Macaca mulatta: one gene and its partners. The main gene of each other region encodes a partner of the protein of the gene in region 2 in a complex. Links are inferred from orthologs where the notes say so. Each region holds a gene or a part of one and is shown on either strand. Other genes may lie near its edges.

Region 1 (3,481 bases), on a different chromosome or scaffold from region 2:
CTCCTGGGGTTGAGGGATCCTCCCAAAGTGCTGGGATTACAGGCGTGAGCCACTGCGCCAGACCTGGGAGTGGTTTCTTATCTAAGGAGGCACAGGAAGACAGTTCCACATCAAATAGAACATAAGAGAAGGCTGGGTGCGGTGGTTCACGCCTGTAATCCCAGCACTGTGAGAGGCCAAGGCGGGCAGATCACAAGGTCAGGAGTTTGAGATCAGTCTGGCCAACACAGTGAAACCCCATCTCTATTAAAAATACAAAAAATTTAGCTGGATGTGGTGTGCACCTATAATTCTAGCTACTTGGGAGGCTGAGGCAGGAGAATCACATGAACCTGGGAGGCGGAGGTTGCAGTGAGCTGAGATGGCACCATTGCACTCGAGCCCAGGCAACAGTGCAAGACTGTGTCTCAAAAAAAAAAAACATAAAACAAGCATTTTTTAATCTTACTACCTCAGGTTCAGACTGGACAGATAAACTCCCTGGGTGGACTCTAAGAACCTACATTTGCAACACATTTATTCCTTTAAAAAATCTATATACATTGCCATACAAAGATACCACAATGAAGCAGTTCTCAGGAACCTTCCAGTGAGCCTTCTCTTATAATTGCCCGAGCAAGATTTCGTGCCAGAGCAAGTCTCAGCATTTCCACCTTGGTGGTTTCTATGTCCTCATCCTGCAAAGCAGAGAGCACCAGCATGAGACAAGAGTAGGAAGGAGCCCTTTCACACTCCCGAAGGTTCTAGCTAATCCAAAGGTAGAGGGCACTTAACACTCATAGTAGCTTCCAGAAAATTATCAATATAAAAGAAAGCAATACCAAAGGGCCATACTGGAAATGATGAACAGGAAAGAGCAAAATGTAGAGGTCAGAACACTAGAATCCCTCATTTCCTCCTAAAAGAAGGTGGTGTGTGAATGACACAGGTTAAGGGGAACAGAGGCACATGTGTCCACAGGAGCCAGTGTTTCTGGAGGGAAGGGGAAGTCTGAGATAGAGGGAGCCTTTTCCCACCTCCATGTGGAACCATCAGCCCAGAAGTGAAAATGACCTGGAGCTGCTGAATATCAGATTCTCCACGCACAGGTCTTCTTGACGTCAAGTCCTCCAGACACTGCATCAACTCGTAAGTCTGTTCTGCTGAGAAAATCACCTAGGGAAGAGAGCCTGCCTTGCTTGGCTGCCCCCAGCCCAGGCCTGCACTGGTTGGGCAGGGGCCCACGTTCGGACGTTCTTCCTTTCATGCCTTTCTCAACAGTGTGCTCTGTACAGGAAGACCTCATTTCAAATTAAGCAGTGTTTCCTGTGTGAGTCTGGAATTGCAGAGAGGGTGCTAAGGGGAACACACGTGCGCAGGCAGAACGACAAGGGAGGAAACACACGTTGCCAACAGCTACACAACTAAGCTCCAGCAGGGACAAGCAAAGAAAACCACCCTGCTGCAACCTTCACCTGTTTTTGTTCCAAAAGGGGCAGGGCATCTGTCAGCAGAGTCATCCAGAAAGACCGAGGGGCAATCCGAGACGTCATCAAGGACAGAAGGAGAGAAGCTGCGTCAGCAAAACGCTTCTCCCCGTACATATGGTGAAACTCGCGATACTTTCCTACGGCGAAACAAGAGCACTAGGTAACGTGCATATTCCCCCAAATTGCCCAAGTGACACCTACAAAAGTCACCCTGGCCCTAAACAAGAGAAGAAAAACCACAGACCAGCCACTCTACAGAGCAGGAGATTTTTTCTATCTCCAAACTCATAGGCCCCAATGAGATGCAGACCAAGAGCGTTCAAAGCAGACTTGGAAGAACTCCAAAGAGCCAAATCTGGGGAAACATCAGAGTCAAAATACGTAACAACAGTCATGGATTAAAAGATTGACTAGGCCAGGTGCAGTGGCTCATGCCTATGCCTGTAATCCCAGCACTTTGGGAGGCCAAGGTGGGTGGATCACCTGAGGTCCGGAGTTTGAGACCAGCCTGGCCAACATAGTGAAACCCCATCTCTACTAAAAATACAAAAATTAGCCAGGTATTATGGCATGCACCTGTAGTCTCAGCTACTTGGGAGGCTGAAGAGGCAGAATCGCTTGAACCTGGGAGGTGGAAGTTGCAGTGAGCCGGGATCGTACCACTGCACTCCAGCCTGGGAGACAGAGTGAGACTCCATCTTTTAAAAAAAAAAAAAAAAAAAAAGGAAACATGGAGGCACTGGCCTGGCACAGTAGCTCACGCCTCTAATCCCAGCACTTTGGGAGGCCAAAGTGGGCAGGTCACTTGACGTCAGGAGTTCGAGACAAGCTTGGCCAACATGATGAAACCCCATCTCTACTAAAAATACAAAAAATTAGCCAGGCATGGTGGCGCATGCCTGTAGTCCCAGCTACTTGGGAGGCTGAGGCAGGAGAATCGCTTGGACTCGGGAGGCAGACGTTGCAGTGAGCCGAGATCACGCCACTGCACTCCAGCCTGGGTGACAGAGTGAGACTGTCCCAAAAAGCTAAATAAATAAAAGACAAAAATTAGCCAGGCGTGGTGCCGCATGCCTGTAATCCCAGCTACTTGGGAGGCTGAGGCATGAGAATTGCTTAAAGTCAGGAGGTGGAGGTTGCAGTGAGCTGAGATCATGCCACTGCACTCCAGCCTGGCAGCCTGGGCCACAGAGCGAGTAAGATTCTGTCTCAAAAAAAAAAAAAAGACAGAAACATGGAGGCACTAAGGAGATGTGACAGCCAAACTCACGATCCTGGACATGACGGAGGATGTTTCTGGGGCCACTGATGCAATGGGAATATATGAAGGAAGTGCTGGGAGGTCTGATATGATCCCTCCAACCTCCCCAACTACCCACTTGTGTCTAAAGCACAGGGCACAAAACCCAGGGACTCACCCAGGAATGTCAGTCGGTCACTGAGCATCATGGCTGGCCCCAGGTTGTCAATGAGATCCAAATCAGAAAAGCAGCCTCGCTCACAGTAATCCCTGAGGAACCTGCAGGGCCCAGCCCAGACATCAGAGCAGCAGTCTCAGGCCCACCTCAACCACCCAGTCCCTGGGAAGCCAACACCAGCGGTACCCACCTGTCTGACACAAGCGTGGCAAAGGCGGCATCCTTAGCACGGATGCTCCAAGAGAGGGCAGAACCCAGGCGATTGTTGCGGACGGCTTTCATGGCTAAGATCTTACAAATGCTGCGAACTTTGTGAGGGAAAAGAAAAGGTGAACGGCTTTCACTCCACAAATCACTCCATTCCTGAGCCCTGTGGGGACCAGAGTGGCCTCACAGCCTCACTCCACCCCAAAGCCACTCTGTGGGCTCTAAACGCAGCTGGATTGGCAGAGCTGGAAACTCAGGCTGATTAACAGTGTCTGGGCTCTGCTAAGAGTGTAAGTGCCCGTCACGGCAGGACTGGCTCCGTGAGTGTGTGGCTTCAAGGGTAGCAAAAGATTTTTGTTTCTCCCTACGTGTCAGCTCTTCTATTAC
Region 2 (2,327 bases):
TGAAAAGCAAATGCTTTTTACCTGATGTGTAAAACAAACTAGCGAGTGCATGTCCTTACTAATGTCCAAACAAAAAGAAATCTGACTTTGTGATAGGAATACCCATTGTATTTTCTTTAGAAGTGAATGAAAGTGCATGGGCTCTTTGAAATGAGCTCTAGGGATGTTCAAGTAAAAGGATTCACTCCCTTACTGGGCAGTATCTCACTTTAAACCATGAAACCAAGGACATCAGTGGGCTTGCAGACCTCTTGGGCACGCAACTTTTATATATAACCTTTTACTTAATCCTATTCGCCCCTACCTTTCAGAAAAAGAAAGAAAAAGGAGAGTGGTGGGCAAAAGGCAGGCAGGAGAATGATCTTCAGACATGGGACATGGCCTGCCAGAGACCAGCTCCTCTCAGTGGGCAAGCCTGCCTGAACTGTAAGTGGCACACAGAGCACCAAGAAGTATCCACTATCTCAATACTCACATTCACAAACATCACTGCACTGGGTTTCTATTATCAAAAAAGATTCCTGCCAAGTGGTAGGCACCATGAGCCCACCGCTGGCACATCTGGCGTTTAGATTCCTATCTGTCCAGGGTAAGGAGAAGACCAGCAAATGCTCTGGTGCGCACCTGGACGGGCTGACCACTTCAGTGGACCACTCTTGAGCACTGTTACCCACATTCCTAAAGGTGGAAATTTCCACCATCTTTCACTAAGCACAAGTTTTATCAACAACAATGCCTGTGGGGTCACAGTGGAAAGAGCTCACAGACATCCTCAGAGGCAGAAGACAGAACATGGCTTCTTGGCTGCCAAAACCAAGTCTGATGTTAGACACTGAGATCCTGAGAGTCTCATCAAAAATTAAGCGGAAATGTTAAAGGAAAGGTAATTTTAAAAAACATCATTGTGGGGCTGGGCACGGTGGCTCACACCTATAATCCTAGCACTTTGGGAGGCCGAGGTTGGGGGGATCTCTTGAGCTCAGGAGTTCGAGATCAGTCTGGGCAACATGGCAAAACTCCATCTGTATATAAAGTACAAAACTCAGCTGGGTGTGGTGGTGCACACCTGGAGTCCCAGCTACTTGGGAGGGTGAGGTGGGAGGGTGGCTTGAGCCCAAGAGGTGGAGGCTGCAGTGAGCTGAGATCATGTCACTACATTCTAGCCTGGGCGACAGAACCAGGCCCTGCCTCAAAAAAAAAAAAAAAAAAAAAAAAGAAAAGAAAAGAAAAGAAAACACCATTGTACTATCCCCTTATGGTTTAATTGGGTCAAAAAATACCTTTGCTCTTTTTTTTTTGTAATCAGACAACATATGCTGTGAGCCCCAGGGTTCTAGCTACCTGGATTCCACTTGACCCACGCACTGCCAGAGGTCCCACAGGCAGCAGAAAGGGCACAGGTGTCAGAGACCCAGCCTCCAGACATGGCCCCTTCACCTACCTGCCACCTGAGGGCAGTTGCTTCCCAACTCCACAGCTCAGTTTCCTCAGCTGTGAGAGGGGATAAGATGCTGTGCTAGTTACCTCTGTAGGGTCACTGTGAACACCGTGACAGGAGAAACAAGGGTTCACATTAAATTAATGTGTTGATCAAAAATAAAGTATGGTTTTAATAAAAGTGTTCACTAATGAGCTAGGACTAACAAAATAAACTTATCTTTTAAAATGTGCAGGAAGTTCTTAAGGAGTCAACTAGAAATTAGCATTCTGTGTGATCTGTTAAAAGGTAAGATTTGCAGACCTAGCACTTCTTTTTATTTTTTTAAGCTTGAGAAGAGCAGCAATCCCTTTAATGTTTGATTTCCTCTGGGAGCCCCCTAACACGAGATTTATCCAGCTGCCAGGTACTAAGGAGAAAGAGCAGTTTTGGGTCACGTGGTCTCTTAATAAGAGTGCAACGGATTCCAAACCAGAAAGGTGGTGCTCAGCAATGTTTCTCGTGAATGCTGGGATCTTACAGAGTCGCGGTCCTCGATGACTCTCTGGGGCCTGGATGATGAGGATGGACTTGTCCCCTTGAGCCTCTTAAACTGTGTGAACAAGATGTTCATGGTGGCAAGAAGCACTTCTGAGAGGTTGTGCCTGATCTACACAGAGAGAAAAACGGAGTAAAGAACAAGAACCAAGCCTTTCGGGCCAACCACAGATGGAGGGAGGGTGGGCTGCTCCAGGCGGGCCTGGTCGCATCACTCCTCACCATTACCAGGTGGAGAGCCACACAGTCACCCAAAAGGAGCTGATGGCACTGAAACATCAAGTGTGAGAAAAAACCCCAAGCAATGCTCCTCAGGTCAGGTGGTTACTGTTTCTGCTCCTTTATGCTGTTT
Region 3 (3,500 bases), on a different chromosome or scaffold from region 2:
AAAATGATTCTGGCTTCCAGGCTCAGGATATTAGTAGCCAGAAGAATGGTAGTGGTGTGATTTTTGGTCAAACAAGTAGCACTTTTACATTTGCAGATCTTGCAAAATCAACCTCAGGAGAAGGATTTCAGTTTGGCAAAAAAGACCCCAATTTCAAGGGATTTTCAGGTGCTGGAGAAAAATTATTCTCATCACAATGTGGTAAAATGGCCGATAAAGCAAACACTTCTGGTGACTTTGAGAAAGATGATGATGCCTATAAGACTGAGGACAGTGATGACATCCATTTTGAACCAGTAGTTCAAATGCCTGAAAAAGTAGAACTTGTAACAGGAGAAGAAGATGAAAAAGTTTTGTATTCACAGCGGGTAAAACTATTTAGGTTTGATGCTGAGATAAGTCAGTGGAAAGAAAGGGGCTTGGGGAACTTAAAAATTCTCAAAAATGAGGTCAATGGCAAACTAAGAATGCTGATGCGAAGAGAACAAGTACTAAAAGTGTGTGCTAATCATTGGATAACGACTACGATGAATCTGAAGCCTCTCTCTGGATCAGACAGAGCATGGATGTGGTTAGCCAGTGATTTCTCTGATGGTGATGCCAAACTAGAGCAGTTGGCAGCAAAATTTAAAACACCAGAGCTGGCTGAAGAATTCAAGCAGAAGTTTGAGGAATGCCAGCGGCTTCTGTTAGACATACCACTTCAAACTCCCCATAAACTTGTAGATACTGGCAGAGCTGCCAAGTTAATACAGAGAGCTGAAGAAATGAAGAGTGGACTGAAAGATTTCAAGACATTTTTGACAAATGATCAAACAAAAGTCACTGAAGAAGAGAATAAGAATTCAGGTACAGGTTCTGCCAGTGCCTCAGACACAACAATAAAACCCAATCCCGAAAACACTGGGCCCACATTAGAATGGGATAACTATGATTTAAGGGAAGATGCTTTGGATGATAGTGTTAGTAGTAGCTCAGTACATGCTTCTCCATTGGCAAGTAGCCCTGTGAGAAAAAATCTTTTCCGCTTTGGTGAGTCAACAACAGGATTTAACTTCAGTTTTAAATCTGCTTTGAGTCCATCTAAGTCTCCTGCCAAGTTGAATCAGAGTGGGACATCAGTTGGCACTGATGAAGAATCTGATGTTACTCAAGAAGAAGAGAGAGATGGACAGTACTTTGAACCTGTTGTTCCTTTACCTGATCTAGTTGAAGTATCCAGTGGTGAGGAAAATGAACAAGTTGTTTTTAGTCACAGGGCAAAACTCTACAGATACGATAAAGATGTTGGTCAGTGGAAAGAAAGGGGCATTGGTGATATAAAGATTTTACAGAATTATGATAATAAGCAAGTTCGTATAGTGATGAGAAGAGACCAAGTATTAAAACTTTGTGCCAATCACAGAATAACTCCAGACATGACTTTGCAAAATATGAAAGGGACAGAAAGAGTATGGGTGTGGACTGCATGTGATTTTGCAGATGGAGAAAGAAAAGTAGAGCATTTAGCTGTTCGTTTTAAACTACAGGATGTTGCAGACTCATTTAAGAAAATTTTTGATGAAGCAAAAACAGCCCAGGAAAAAGATTCTTTGATAACACCTCATGTTTCTCGGTCAGGCACTCCCAGAGAGTCACCATGTGGCAAAATTGCTGTAGCTGTATTAGAAGAGACCACAAGAGAGAGGACAGATGTTATTCAGGGTGATGATGTAGCAGATGCAACTTCAGAAGTTGAAGTGTCTAGCACATCTGAAACAACAACAAAAGCAGTGGTTTCTCCTCCAAAGTTTGTATTTGGTTCAGAGTCTGTTAAAAGCATTTTTAGTAGTGAAAAATCAAAACCATTTGCATTTGGCAACAGTTCAGCCACTGGGTCTTTGTTTGGATTTAGTTTTAATGCACCTTTGAAAAGTAACAATAGCGAAACTAGTTCAGTAGCCCAGAGTGGATCTGAAAGCAAAGTGGAACCTAACAAATGTGAACTGTCAAAGAACTCTGATACCGAACAGTCTTCAGATAGCAAAGTCAAAAATCTCTTTGCTTCCTTTCCAACGGAAGAATCTTCAATCAATTACACATTTAAAACACCAGAAAAGGGTAAGTACTTTGTTGTTAAAGTTAAGCACAATTTTTCTTTTAATGTTTAACTTGATGCACTCTTTGTAGAATACTAATGTTGGGATATAAACGATGCTTTGTGAACACCCCCAAAATATTTGAGCAATATATTTTTCTCCCTTAATAAGTTCACGGTGAGGTTTCAAAGAGCAACAGAACTTAGTTTAAGACATTTCAGTAACTGGAAGATACTTCTTTCATGCTAGGGCAGAGCAAAAGAACTCAGTACAGTGTACGGACTCATGCTTGAATCATGCGCGTTAACGAGTCTTTTTTTAAAAAAAAGTTTTCATTTTCATTTGTTCAGTTTGTCACTCAGAAAACATGATACTGAGGCCGGGCACAGTGGCTCATGCCTAGAATCCCAGCACTTTCGGAGGTTGAAGTAGGCAGATCGCTTAAGCTCAGGAGTTCGAGACCAGCCTGGCCAACATGGTGAAACCCTGTTTCTACTGAAAATACAAAAATTAGCCGGGCATGGTGGTGCGTGCCTAGAATTAGCAGCTACTCAGGAGATTGAGGCAGGAGGATCACTTGACACAGGAGATGGAGGTAGCAGTGAGCTGAAATCATGCCACTGCACTCCAGCCTGGCTGGGTGACAGAGTGAGACTTTGTCTCCAAAAAAAAAAAAAAAAGAACATGATACTGAGATGTTCTCATTTTATATGTTGTATGTTAGTCTTGCTCATTTATTAAATGAGCAAAGAATGAAACTACAGGGGTAAATGAATATATAAGACAATCAGATTGGTGGTATAAATTGAGGGATTCTGGCTTTTTATGTTTTAAAAGCATATTCATTTTGTTTCCCAAAATGTTAAAAAATGAAATATTCTTCATTTTCTAGGATTTAATTTTAGCCTTTTTAAATCTAATCCCATGGCCTTTTGGACTAGCACCCCTTCCTCACAGCCTGAGAACAAAGGTATAGAACTAGCATTCTCAGTATGAGATAACAGCAGTTTTTAGCAGCTGGTAGCCCTTAGCAAAGTATTAATAACTGTGGCTGTATGAAATTAAGTACTTAACACTACAACATGCATGTTAAAGAATGCCAGTTTAAGCAAAGCACCTTTTGACTGGTGGCATGACATCCTTTATTTTTGGTTTGTTTTTTAAAATATACTGGGATGCTGATTTGTAATGTACTTCATTACTCTGTTATTTCAAGTCTGCTCAATGAAGACCTATGTTTTATCTAATGTTTATCTTTAGCCACTAACGTCTGCCAGTATTCAAATGTATTGGCAACGGCATGTATACAATATGGAAGAGTGTCCCTGTAGGGCTGTTCTTTTGTGCACGGTTTAGAAAAATGTTGTATTTGAAAATGGACCCCATTTTTAACAGCCAGCATTCTACAGCTTGTGTATTATA
Region 4 (4,124 bases), on a different chromosome or scaffold from region 2:
ATAATAACTGCAATCATTATTATTAGTGTTTATTGATATTGTAACCAAATACTATACTTATCATGTTACAATAAATGTTAGTTGCTATTATAATTATCATTATTATTAAATGCTTTAAAAGCAAAAAAGTCTTACAAGGCTGTCGAAATGAGCTAGGAGTTCGAGGGATAACCTGGTTTCTTGGTGTAGTATTACCGAAACTTTCATCTTGAGATGCCTGAACTGTACAATGAGTTAAGAAAAGTTTTCCATGTAGAAAAGATTAAAATGAGAATTAACCATCTTTTTACTATACAAATTATGTGAATACATTTTTCAAGAACAAGGTATTTTACGGCTACCATTTTTCAATGCAAAGGGTAAATAACCCATTCCTTCTGCCATTTAAATTCTCAGACGTCAGTCTTAGATAACTACACACTGAACTAAATGTTTTTAGTCAGTTTTCAAATAATAAAAATCTCAGCAGAAGCTAACCACAATATGATAGTCAGCAGTAAGAAATATCTTTATTTTTAAGGAAATATAATCTTATTAAATTTTTGCATTATATTTACCTAATGACAGCTCTGTGGAGTGAAAAAAATTTCTACAGGATTTTATTATAGCTAACATTTAATACTCTTATAAAAAGAAAATTCTATAACACTGATTCCAAACATGTTACAATTTTTATAATGATGCTTAAATCGCAAAGGATACTTAAAACTCTTTTTTGAGCACTCTGTTTCCGTGCAGTCCGTGTCACCTCTGCCTCCCGGATTACAGGGGATGATATATCTCCAAAGCCACTCCTAAAGTAGTATAATCAAGCTTATATAAGTGAAACGAGAATATAGCATTTGTAAAGAATTTTATCATCACAGCTGGAGTAAAGGACCCTGAGTAAGTTAAGATATAGGTCATTCCAGTAGCCAAGTCTTGGATCTTTTGCTGAGAATGCACTCGTGGCTCCAAATCCTGCTTATTCTTCAAAGTCTTACTCAAATGTTACCTGCACAAAGATTTCTCTGACTTTCTAGTACTCACTATGTTATTTTCTCCTAAAGAATTATTTCAACACTTGGAATCTATATTATAACACTGTTTTAGGTAATTGCTTCATAAAAGTGAATCTTATTTCCCTGGTTGGATTGAGAAGTTACCTAATTGCAGGAATTCTCTCTTCAAAGATTTTCTGCAGAATCCAAAATGCTTTAAACCATGGGTACTATTAAAAAACAAACAACAACAACCAGACAACAACCACCACCAGACAACAACAACAACCAGAGCTTGTGAGATACAACCACAACAACAAACAGAGCTTGTGAGATAGAAGAGTAAGTAAAAAAATTCTGGTAAATTGTAGCAAAATGACCCTTCAAGTTATTTCAACCAAAGAGGTCTCCTGTCCCATCACAACACTCTGTCAGTTTCACTCAAAGGTCTAGAAACTAAATTGTGTGGACTAAAAGGCCTGTGTTTAAGACAAGAATCTAATATGCTTTTCCTCCACTTAAAACCTTCAGATATTCCTTCAGCAGGAAAGTATGGGAAACAACCCCATAGAAAAAATTTTAAATGTTTAATAATTAAAATTAAAAAACAAAACAAACAAAAAACCTACAGATAGCTCTCTCTGGTTTATAGAAGTGCAAATTTCCTAAAATGATATTTACAATGTGACCCCAGTTTAGGCGTTCAGTCTTCTATTCAGCCACAAACATCACTCTAAACATATACTGCATGTGACCACTGAGCTACATGTACTTTTGTTTTTCATATACTAGCACCTTTGAATATGTTTCTTTTACAAAGACCTACATTTGCCCCCTTGGGCACCTGGTCAACAACTAATTACTCCTCAAAGAGCCTCAGGTAGGCTGGAGACACACAGAGGCAGGTTGGCAATTTGGTTCTTGTATTTATTAGCTTCCTAACTTTCAGCAAATTCCTTAACCTCTTTTAGTCTCAGTATTATACATGAAAAAGGGATAACAGTACCTATCCTCATAGGATTGCTCTTGTTCTGAAGATTAAATAAACTGATAATATATATTCAAAGCCAACAATGGCAGTCATATAGTAGGTACTCAATGTTTGGAGTACGAATAATGTACTATTATTATGCAAAGACCAGCTAGAAAGTTACCGTCTTTGAGAGGTCTTTCTGATAGAGTGACAGGGAGACTTAATCGCCCCCAAACACTTATCACTTTATACCGCTTGGTTGTCTCCACTACACAACTAATTCCCCGAGGTGAAGGATCTTGAATAACTGATCTTTGTTGCAGGCGGCTAGCACAGTACCCAGATCACAGAGGGAACTCAGTATCTGATGCTAGCACTTGTAATCAGAAAGTCTGAGCTGAGATCCCAGTATCTTCACTGACTGGCTTTGTGATCACAGGCTGGTCACTTAGCATTTCGAACGCCGGGCTACCTACCCCGCCCACCCCAGGAGCGATCAGTGTTGCTGCCCCAAAGCGCCGAATAGATCGCAGAACGTAGTGGGAATGTAGGGGACCATTATGATCCGTACCCCACCCGACGCAGGCCAAGCGGCCTTTCCCCATTTGTAGCCAAATTTCCCGGCATGGGGAAGGAGTCTTAGGGGAAGCACCCGGGACCTCCTTGGCTTCTTCTGGGAGTCTAGTTTCACCTATTTCGTTTCGCCAACAGGCGAGAGGGGCAAGGCTTTGGGTTCAGCTGCCATCATCAGAACTGACCTGTCCATGGCTAAAGCCTTTTCCACACAGAATAAATGTCGACTCCAGTTTAGCTACCGCGTTTTACCCTTCCCGCTCTCCGGAAGCAAGCCCTTCGACCCGGAAGCAGTCTCTCCCTAAAATAGCCCCACAGAAAAGGGGTAGGGGAGAAGAAACGACGTTCCCATCTAGCGCATGGGCGACTTCAGCCTACAGGTGCCGGCCCGGTGGGCGCAGGCGCAAAAGCTTGCCAATGTGTGCCTGGCTGGACCAGACAGGGCCGGGGGCGGGACCTGGTTGCGTTTAGCCCAGACGCCTTGCGGCCGCTTTGCCTGACCAACGTCTGTGGGCGTGGAACAGGCCCTGGGTTCTCCTACTGGGAAAAATGAAGCATGTTGATAGTCTGGAAAGACGTGAAGTCATTTCCTGGTATTCTCTGTCAGAAAGCGCCTGTTCTTGGAATTCAGATGCGTGGGCTCTGCCCCACACCTCGGGAATCTCTTATCTCTCTCCCTACACTCAGTCCTTTGTTCTCTAGCCCCCTGCAGTTTTTGAAACTGTTTTCCATAACTGCTATTTGTTCTTTACTTGGTATTCTTTTCTATTAAGGAGAAACAGTTCACCTGTATTAAAAAGTAGAAAGGCAAGCGTAAAACATGATGGTATTGCCCTCTATTTCAAAGTGCCGTCTAGGCAAAAAGTGGTATATTTTGGTCTTGAGGGAGTCAGTCACATTTTTGTTTCGGTTTTTGTTTTTTCCAGTTTGAAAGTAGCGACTGGCTATTAACTGACCAGATTACAAAAATAACGTTAGATGCTTCAGTTTATCCGTTTAATAAGCCTGTTGATATGGTCTTTTCTGTTGCTGGCATTTGTACTTTTTAGTAATACAGAATAGGTAGTCATTCTCCCTCGTGGAGAAGATAATTTGAAGGATCACAGGAACTTGAAGAGTTTTTCAACAGCATAGATCTCATGAATCAGATTCTCCAGTCAGATGATGCCATATTTATCAAGAAATCTATCAATCAAAGAGTTATCTGTTAAGGTAATTTGTTTATTGGTTTTGCCATAACCAATTTGTAGATCAGTTCATTTATTGATTTCAGGTTCAGGTACTCTATGCGATGTATGGTTCCACAATAGTCAGCGTGTTAACTGAAGCCTTGAGTTTAGCAGAGGTGCCATGGAAGATCTGGGGAAAGTGAAGAGGTTTTGACAGACTTTTGGGATCACACCATTGATACCTTAAGGCAAGTGACAATTTGGATTTCACAGGTATATAGAAATTGCCAGCTTTTCTTGTCATATATTCCTTGTGACAGTGCTGAGCTTTTTTCTTCTTCTTCTTCTTGCTTGCTTTTTTTTGGACTTGATTTTTTAAATTATGTTTCCTTCCTTCTTTCCTTCTTTTTTTTTTTTTTTTTTTTTTGA
Region 5 (3,963 bases), on a different chromosome or scaffold from region 2:
GCTAATTTTTAGCTTGTTCTATCATACTATCTTTACTTGTGCAAATTTAGCCCATCCTTGTAGGTCTAACGTTTATGCCACCTCTTTAGGAAGCCCATCTTGTGCTCTCTCCCTTCTCTAAAATTTTATATACATCCCTTAAACATATGTTTACATATTCTCCGCCTTCAACTCCCATTCTCAGGCTATTTTATTCCCGTTTATGAGATTTGCTGTTTAGCTCAGTATTTTGTGGGTTTTCAAAAGATTCCACTCAATTTACCGAGCACCTATGCACCAGACATTTTATTAGGTACAAGGAAAAGCGTTAAATAGATATAATCATGGCCTTCAAGAAACTGAACCTGGTAAGGGAGACGAATAAGTAGACATTCAAGTGAGCTTTAGGAGACTTGGTTTGGTAGTGAATACAGTCTCACGTGTATTAACAATTTACAGCACCGTAAAATAAGAGACAGAAGCCAACAAATCCGTTTCAAACAGTTCAAAGGAGGAAAAGGAGAGGGAAGGGCGGTTTAGATACAGCATCACCATAAATAGCCTGATAATCTAACCCTGTGATAATCCAAGTATAGTCACAGCACCTGCCTCAGAATCACTTGGAAGGCTTGTGAGGAATACAAACGCAGATTCATACCTACTGAAATTAGAATGGAGAAAGGGGCATTTAAGTCTGCATTTTAAAGACATTCCCCAGGTACTGAAGCCATCCAAAGTTTTAGAACAGAGCAGAGCCACGCTTCGCAGACCTTGTTCCTCAACTACTGCCTCCTTCTAGCCGGAGGGTGGCGTGCAGCGTGTCCCTTCCCTTCCCACCGTCCAAGTTATCTATCCAGTTTTCGAACGTCGGCCCACAGACCGCAGGACAATACGCGAGAGACTAGGAGCACCCACTACGCAAACCACCACACAGGGATCGGAGGCCGGACCCGCAAAGGATTTGGGGAAAAAGGCATCAGGCCAATCCGAAGGGCGAGAGCGGCCCTAGGAATGGAGGGGCGGGGTGGGTGGCGGGGGGGGGGGGGCGGGGAGAGAGAGGTTTTTTTTTTTTCTTGATTGACGTAAAGCGTACCCAATTAAAATAAAACTGGTAAAGCTTCCGCCATAATGGGCAGAACCATAGCGACATTTCAACCAATCCAGCTCAAAAGTGTCTATGTTGTGGGAGGTCCCTGAGGCCGCTGAGGTCGTTCGTGTCTGTTGAACGGTTGTGGGAGTCTTGCTGCTTTGGGTAGGGGGTTAAAATCGTTTCTTGAGAGGAACGACTCTGTCCGAAGAGATAATGAGTTTAGCTCTGAGGTCGGTAATAAGGAGGCGGCAGTGCTCTCCACACCCCGGAGCGGGACCTAGGGAGGGTGTGTGTGGAAGGGAGGCCGTTTGGGGCCGTGGCGAGGCAGGGGATGCTGTTTGGGATGCGGGAAAGGAGCCTAGGGCAGCCTGTCTGGATCACTCACCCTCTGGGCTCTGGTGCCCTGCAGGGAACGAGACTTCCAGTGCATTTCTACTAAGGAGGTTATTTCTGTCAGCGCGTAGGGCTTTCGACTACCAAAAAAATGGGCTTAGTTGCGAGCGAGGGGGAGGGAATGAAATATCGCGAGGCTTCTACTCTGTTGCTCTGAGAGATCAGGCCGCGGAACATCCCTTCATTCAATTCGTATGCCTGGCCAGGGCCCCACCTCCGCTGCTCTGCTGCTGATGCAATCATCCACCTATAAATTTTGGAAATAACAAAAAACTCTTTGCTATTCTCCCAAGGTCCTGCTTTACGGTGTAATTAGAAACCCATTTTAGTGACTAATTGGCAAACTGTCTCTTGGATTTCCTGTTTCTTTCATTTCTTTACCTTTCAGTTCTAACCTCTAACCCTCTGTCTGTTACCCGCTCCCCCTACGTAGACGTTGTACCGTAAAACTATACATATACTTAGGACACTCTAAAAATGTTCCATGTTCTGCTAAGGGATAATCATGGTACCCTTGGATGGGGTCAGGGGTGGGTCGGTTCTGGACTTGGCCTCTAAAAGTCTCAGGAAGGAAAAGACTGACCCCAGGAATACCCAAGTTTGTGTCAAGTCAGGTCTCATGAAAGGAAGATCTTCCTCAGCTTTGTCATACTGCATCTACTGGTCACTTCCTAGCCTTTTTTTTTTTTTTTTTTTTTGTAGCGTTCAGAGACCAAAACGACTTTCAAATGCAGCTAGATACGTGTTTTAAATACAGTCAACTGGTTTTGACATGTTAATGTGTTACCAGATTGTGTGTTTCAAAACTTGTTCTTATACCAGTGTTGCGGCTCCATTGGAAAACTTGGAGCACATTTAGATGGGCAGCTCTTACGGAAAACATTTCTGGCTTTAAAGTAATTTTTGCTTTTTTCTTTAAGCGTTTCCAGAGTTTATGAGAAGTTTAACCTCCAGTTTACATCTTAAGTGAGACAAGACTTATGAAGCACAAATATTGTATACTTTTTTGACATCTAATATTTGTCATATGTTTAGACTCATTAATATTTTGGGTGATTTGTTAATATCAGTGGAGGAAATGACACATAAATTGCCAAACTGTTAGAAACGTGTAATCTAAAAACATTTTGAACCAACAGTCCCAAAATATAAGTTAATCCAGTTGTATTTTTTGTAGTAATTTTATGAACTTAATTATCAGAACTATCAAAAGTAAACCGATATATGGTGATTGTCAGTTACGAATTTTGGTTTCATTTGGAGATTTTTTGGTTTCTTTAACATTCTTGTAGAATAATGTGAGTGTTTTTGTTTTTTTTTGGTTGGAGTTGGTTGGAGTTTCAGACATAAAAGTAATGTTGCTTATTCACAGTTCTTGAATAAATAAAAAGTTAGGGAAAGTGGGAATAAATAAAAAGCTGGGAAAAGGAAAAGTTTGGTCCTCATTTCTTTTAATAATCTGTAACACTCTTTAGTTTTGGGAAGTTCATATTTATAGCAATTTAGACTATGGAATAAACAGGGCATTGACTCATAAAGGGAAAGTTTCCCTGTCTTTCTCCAAAGTACTTTCTTTTTTGAAATTTAGAAAATAATTATTGGCTAATTTCTGTTAGTAAAGAGAATTAAAGTGGACTAAGGGCTTTTTCTTTCCATTTCATAGAAGTGAGCTTGTAGTAGACAAAACAAAGAGGAAAAAAAGAAGAGAACTGTCTGAGGAACAGAAACAAGAAATTAAAGATGCTTTTGAACTATTTGATACAGACAAAGATGAAGCAATAGATTATCATGAATTAAAGGTAATGGTATACTTTAAAATACTTGTTTCTGTGTTAAAATGATTTGCATTTTGACAGTTGCTTTACATTACATTTCTAAGTAATTATTTTAACTAAATTGGTTTTGGAACTATGAAGGCATTTTAAGCATTCATAGTTAGATTCTATAATAATACTGAATAGAACTCCTAACACAGTTTTTAGAAAATCTTTTTCACGTGATAAAACGAATAGCATTTTAAATGTAACAATACATTCCTAGGGAAGGTGCTTATTTTTCACTGACATAATTAAAGGATTTCAAACTGGAATTTAAACTATTACCATATTCTTTTCACTGTTTTTTTTGTTTTTGTTTTTGTTTCTTGGTGACTCATACTGTTTTCAGATTGTGGGATTGTTGTCTTTTAATCTTATAATTTGTATTTGTTAGTAACATAGTCTCAATCCACTTTCTGTGGTACAAACAACTTCAGTGCTGTTTGATGTTGACACATGCTTGTAGGTAAAAATGTCAACTTTAAGACCTAGAATGTCAAGGTGTAGAGAGGGATTTGTAAATTATTATTTGTCAGGGTATAAGGAGAGATTTGGGTTTAGGGTAGAATGGGACTTACTTTCAGCACAGTGGGAAAGATAGTATTTTGAGATTTTTAATAGCCTTAATGGATAGGTGAATGTAAGTGTTTATTTGATAGTTTTAATTTTTGTAATTTCTTAAGG
Region 6 (4,054 bases), on a different chromosome or scaffold from region 2:
GAAGCCAAGCCACACCCCCAGGCACGTCCACGGGGCTCCTCCCTCCCCCTTCCAACCACAGTTTATAACTAAGCCTCAGCCTCTCCGAATTCTAAATTTGCCCTTTCTTTACCCAAATCTGAGCCCCACCCACTCCCAAGGGAATTTCTTTAGGTCCTAAGGTAGGACCGATGCCCCACCCTTTCCCCCAATACAGAAACCTAAGGGTCTCCCAGGGGAATTACCTTAGGCCCCTCCCATCCACCTCAGAATATTCCGCTTCATGGAAAAACTCAATTCCAGGGACATTTTCTTCCAGCCACGCCCCTTGCCCTAAAATATTTCCTTTTGGCCCCACTGCCTTCCTAGCTTCCATCCCAAACCAGTGCCCAGGGGAACTGCCCCAGGCCCCAGCCCTTCAGCAATGTTATCCACTCAAATCCCACTCCTCGCTTTGCCACTGTCCCTCCAAGCCCCGCCCCTCATTGTTTATTTAGCTCCGCCCCTCTCCGATTCCCCAGAGGCCCCGCCTCTTTGTCCCATCGAAGCCCCACCCCTCAGCTAAAGGTTGGCTTAGCCCCGCCCCTTCTCACAATGGGCTCACGAAATCCCACCCATCGTGACGACAGTGGTTCTAGCCCCACCCACTTAGAGGGCTGCCTCTAAGCCCCGCCTTCTCCCCTGTCAATCTAAGCCAGTCCCCGCCTCAGCAGGTGCCTGGTTTAAAAGGAAGGAAGTTGGGCTGTGAGCCAGAGCAACGTGGAGCAGGGAGGGTGGAGGAGGGTAGAGGGGGCAGGCAGAGAACTGCTACCCGAACGCCAGCCGTCCACACGCGGCTATGCGCCAAGGGCCAAAGCGCATGCTACGTCTTCCGAGCTGTCCAATTGCTTTACACCTCCGCCTTCTTGGGGATCAGTGCGCATGCGCGGACACTCAGGGCCCGCGCTCATTCATTACGGGGCACTGGTAGGCTACTGCGCAGGAACAACCAAGCACGCACAGAATCGTTTAGAAAAAGACCACACCCTCCCTTGGAGTGCGCAGGCGCAGCCACACGCCGGCTGACAAACATCGAGTCTCTAGAACTCTCCCACCCGGCTCCGGGCCCAGTGCGCATGCGCAGCCGCGCGCCTTCGGCCCACCGTACCTCTTCTGCGCCTGCGCGACCGTGATTCCCCGCTCGCAGCTCCCCTCCCCCCAGGGCTCCCTAAAGAGGGCCACGAGCTGCGAAAGGGCGGGAAAGGCGGTTGGAGAGGGACAAGTAAGCGGTTACTCACTCCATGGCTGCAGAAAGGAGAGGCGGCGGCGGCCTCGGCTGAAGAAAGAAGGTGGGAGCGGAGAGCGCAGGCGTGGTAAGCGCGGAGTCGGGCTGGGGGCACAAAGGGGTCGAGGCTACAGAGCCATGGCTGGGGCTACGCAGGCGGAGGCGGAGAACGCTGTAGTTAGAAGAGACCGTGATCTGAGGACGGGGAATGAGGCGGCCCCGGGGACTGGGGACAGAAATACTTCGGGTGGCGCAGCATGGCCCGCCCGGATCCTTCCGCGCCCCGCCCTCGCGGGGCCCCAACTGGGTGGCAGCCCGGTCCCCTCCTCCTGGGGATCAGGGGATCCGACCTCTTCCTTCCCACTCCTAGGGTCCAGGCCCCTCCTCCCTTTTGAGCCAGGGATCCGGCCCTCTCGTAGCTCCGGGGTCTGGTTTCCTCCTAAACTCTGGTTTCTTTCTTTTTCTGCCTGTGAGGTCTGGGCCTGCTTCCTCCTGTGATTTTGTGGATCCAGTCTCATTCTCTTCCCGGAGACCTGCACCATTTAATTTCTGTTTCCCTTTCCCTGCTTGCAGAATTTCCTGCCAGCCACACTTTTCATGTTTTCATCCCCCAACTGCTGACCCCGAGAAACCCTCGTGGGTTAGAGTCCAGCGTGAGTCACAGCACTCTCCCAAACACAGACCTACCAGGATGGCCTCGGGCAAATAGCTTAAGTTCTCTTGCTTCATTTCCCTATCCGTAAAATAAGAAAAATCAGCTCTCCTGGTGGGTTTATGAAACTCAAGACGGTGTCTGGCAAGCCTTATGCACAGAGTTCAACTCATACGTTCCTGTTCAATTTTTTTTTTTTTTTTTTTTTTGGTGAGATGACGTCTCTCGGTCTCTGTCGCCCAGGCTGGAGTGCAGTGGCGCGATCTCGGCTCACTGCAAACTCCGCCGAGTTCACGCCATTCTCCTGCCTCAGCCTCCAGAGTAGCTAGGATTACAGGCGCCCGCCACCACGCCCGGCTAATTTTTTGTATTTTTAGTAGAGACGAGGTTTCACCTTGTTAGCCAGGATGGTCTCGATCTCCTGACTTCATGATCGGCCCGCCTCGGCCTCCCAAAGTGCTGGGCTTACAGGCGTGAGCCACCGCGCCCGGCCTCAACATATTTTATTGGGGCCCAGCCTCACTTCTTCTTTCCCCCTTACAAGAGCCGCAGACGTTGGACTGTCTAACTCTTGCTGTCGTTCTTCTGTCTCCCTCATTCCTCTGAAGTGTCTGTTTCCGGCCATCCTCATCTTCCGTTCCAAATGATGGGTGCCCAGGCCCCATCCCCTGGCAGGGATTCAGACATCGAGGCCCCAGCTGCGTCCTTTTCTCCATCCCTTGCCCTTGGCTTCCTTTCAAACAGTCCTTAGCTTCCACGGGATAGGAACTATCTCCCAACCCTGCCAAAAATGGAAGATCTCCGTTTCCCTTTAGTCAGAGGGTAGCCATCTTGCCCCTTCTCATGCACAGGGCCCTCCACCAGCCGAGGTGGATGTCAGTCTTTTCTCTCTTGCAGAAACCCACTTTGTCCCATCCACGTCAGGACATCCCAGCTGGAGTTCAGCCTTCATCCCTTCTGTGGCAGTTAGGAGACTGAATCAAGGTCCAGAGAAGGTGGAGGAATCCTGGTATTGAGCGTTTTACACAAGCTTCTTTCTCCTCCCTTACTTGTCGCGGGCAGGAAGCCCTTCTTGGGATCTGACCACCTTCCCTTAGAGCACTTATTGTCCACTTTGCCAGCTTTTGAGCACCTGCCCTATATTTCCTTGAGCTTGTAGGGGTTGTGTTATCACTGAGACAGTATACAGAGTAGCAGCTAAGAGCATAAACTGAGCTTGTCCCATCCGTGGGCCTGCATGTGGCCCAGAATAGCTTTGAATGCAGCCTAATACAAATTCGTAAACTTTCCTAAACCATACGAATTTTTTGCGAGTGTTTTTTTTTTTTCCTTTTGAGCTCATCAACTATCATTAGTGTTATTTTATGTGTGGCCTAAGACAATTCTTGCGATGTAGCCCCAGGAAGCCAAATTTTATACATCCTTGGCATAGACTCTGGAGCCAGATTTATGAGTTCAAAACCTGACTGCACCCCTCTTATTAGCTGTGTGACCGTAGCCATTTCCCTTCCCGGTGCCTCGGTTTCCCCTGTGGTACAAGGTGGTGTTAAGAGTACCTGCCTCTGGGCCAGGCACGGTGGCTTACGCCTGTAATCCCACCACCCTGGGAGGCTGAAGTGGGCAGATTGCTTGAGCTCAGGAATTCGAGACCAGCCTGGGCAACATGGTGAAACCCCGTCTCTACAGAAAATACAAAAAAATAGCTGGGTGTGGTGGTTTGTGCCTGTGGTCCCAGCTACTTGTGAGGCTAAGGCAGGAGGATCACTTGAACCCTGGGGTGGGGCAGAGGTTGCAGTAAGCGGAGATTGTGCCACCACACTCCAGCCTGGGTGACAGAGTGAGACCCTGTCTCAAAAAAAAAAAAAAAACAAAAAAAACAAAACTGCCTGCCTCATAGGGCTGATTAAATGAGTTAATCCGCGTCGAGCAGTTAGACTAGTGCCTGGGACACAGTAGGTGCTGCATAAAAGTGGTTACTGTTACTGCTATAATTAAGGTGGATGTGTTCTCATTCCATTGCTGTGCAGTAAGTCCAACTTCCTTCCACTTCTCAGTATAGGTTTTTGAGCAAAAGCAGATGGAATTAAGGGTAGACTGTTGGACAGACTGCCAGTGGTAAGGACGCAGAGACGTGCCCTACCCCAGCCCCCCACCGGCAG

Evidence for each region.
Region 1: NUP93 (region 2) and NUP85 share a complex: the UniProt entries of both Homo sapiens proteins name them as parts of the nuclear pore complex. The link is inferred for Macaca mulatta from reciprocal best matches to the Homo sapiens genes NUP93 and NUP85.
Region 3: NUP93 (region 2) and RANBP2 share a complex: the UniProt entries of both Homo sapiens proteins name them as parts of the nuclear pore complex. The link is inferred for Macaca mulatta from reciprocal best matches to the Homo sapiens genes NUP93 and RANBP2.
Region 4: NUP93 (region 2) and NUP107 share a complex: the UniProt entries of both Homo sapiens proteins name them as parts of the nuclear pore complex. The link is inferred for Macaca mulatta from reciprocal best matches to the Homo sapiens genes NUP93 and NUP107.
Region 5: NUP93 (region 2) and CETN3 share a complex: the UniProt entries of both Homo sapiens proteins name them as parts of the nuclear pore complex. The link is inferred for Macaca mulatta from reciprocal best matches to the Homo sapiens genes NUP93 and CETN3.
Region 6: NUP93 (region 2) and NUP62 share a complex: the UniProt entries of both Homo sapiens proteins name them as parts of the p62 complex. The link is inferred for Macaca mulatta from reciprocal best matches to the Homo sapiens genes NUP93 and NUP62.

The regions. Positions count from the first base shown.
Region 1 is NC_133421.1:84,926,482-84,929,962, reverse strand, and holds the end of NUP85 (nuclear pore complex protein Nup85), read right to left. Parts: intron 3,196-3,481; coding exon 3,078-3,195; intron 2,989-3,077; coding exon 2,888-2,988; intron 1,607-2,887; coding exon 1,455-1,606; intron 1,156-1,454; coding exon 1,054-1,155; intron 678-1,053; coding exon 576-677; 3' UTR 501-575; downstream 1-500. UniProt on the Homo sapiens protein: Essential component of the nuclear pore complex (NPC) that seems to be required for NPC assembly and maintenance. As part of the NPC Nup107-160 subcomplex plays a role in RNA export and in tethering NUP96/Nup98 and NUP153 to the nucleus.
Region 2 is NC_133425.1:52,444,468-52,446,794, reverse strand, and holds the end of NUP93 (nuclear pore complex protein Nup93), read right to left. Parts: intron 2,088-2,327; coding exon 1,959-2,087; intron 1,185-1,958; coding exon 939-1,184; 3' UTR 501-938; downstream 1-500. UniProt on the Homo sapiens protein: Plays a role in the nuclear pore complex (NPC) assembly and/or maintenance. May anchor nucleoporins, but not NUP153 and TPR, to the NPC. During renal development, regulates podocyte migration and proliferation through SMAD4 signaling.
Region 3 is NC_133418.1:19,345,322-19,348,821, forward strand, and holds part of RANBP2 (E3 SUMO-protein ligase RanBP2), read left to right. Parts: coding exon 1-2,100; intron 2,101-2,970; coding exon 2,971-3,048; intron 3,049-3,500. UniProt on the Homo sapiens protein: E3 SUMO-protein ligase which facilitates SUMO1 and SUMO2 conjugation by UBE2I. Involved in transport factor (Ran-GTP, karyopherin)-mediated protein import via the F-G repeat-containing domain which acts as a docking site for substrates.
Region 4 is NC_133416.1:75,809,287-75,813,410, reverse strand, and holds the start of NUP107 (nuclear pore complex protein Nup107), read right to left. Parts: upstream 2,801-4,124; 5' UTR 2,720-2,800; coding exon 2,712-2,719; intron 795-2,711; coding exon 703-794; intron 223-702; coding exon 136-222; intron 1-135. UniProt on the Homo sapiens protein: Plays a role in the nuclear pore complex (NPC) assembly and/or maintenance. Required for the assembly of peripheral proteins into the NPC. May anchor NUP62 to the NPC. Involved in nephrogenesis.
Region 5 is NC_133411.1:96,792,236-96,796,198, reverse strand, and holds the start of CETN3 (centrin-3), read left to right. Parts: upstream 1-1,163; 5' UTR 1,164-1,282; coding exon 1,283-1,299; intron 1,300-3,125; coding exon 3,126-3,261; intron 3,262-3,963. UniProt on the Homo sapiens protein: Plays a fundamental role in microtubule-organizing center structure and function. As a component of the TREX-2 complex, involved in the export of mRNAs to the cytoplasm through the nuclear pores.
Region 6 is NC_133424.1:62,390,486-62,394,539, reverse strand, and holds the start of NUP62 (nuclear pore glycoprotein p62), read left to right. Parts: upstream 1-1,254; 5' UTR 1,255-1,331; exon of another isoform or gene 1,332-1,453; intron 1,454-2,792; exon of another isoform or gene 2,793-2,904; intron 2,905-3,649; exon of another isoform or gene 3,650-3,794; intron 3,795-4,054. UniProt on the Homo sapiens protein: Essential component of the nuclear pore complex. The N-terminal is probably involved in nucleocytoplasmic transport.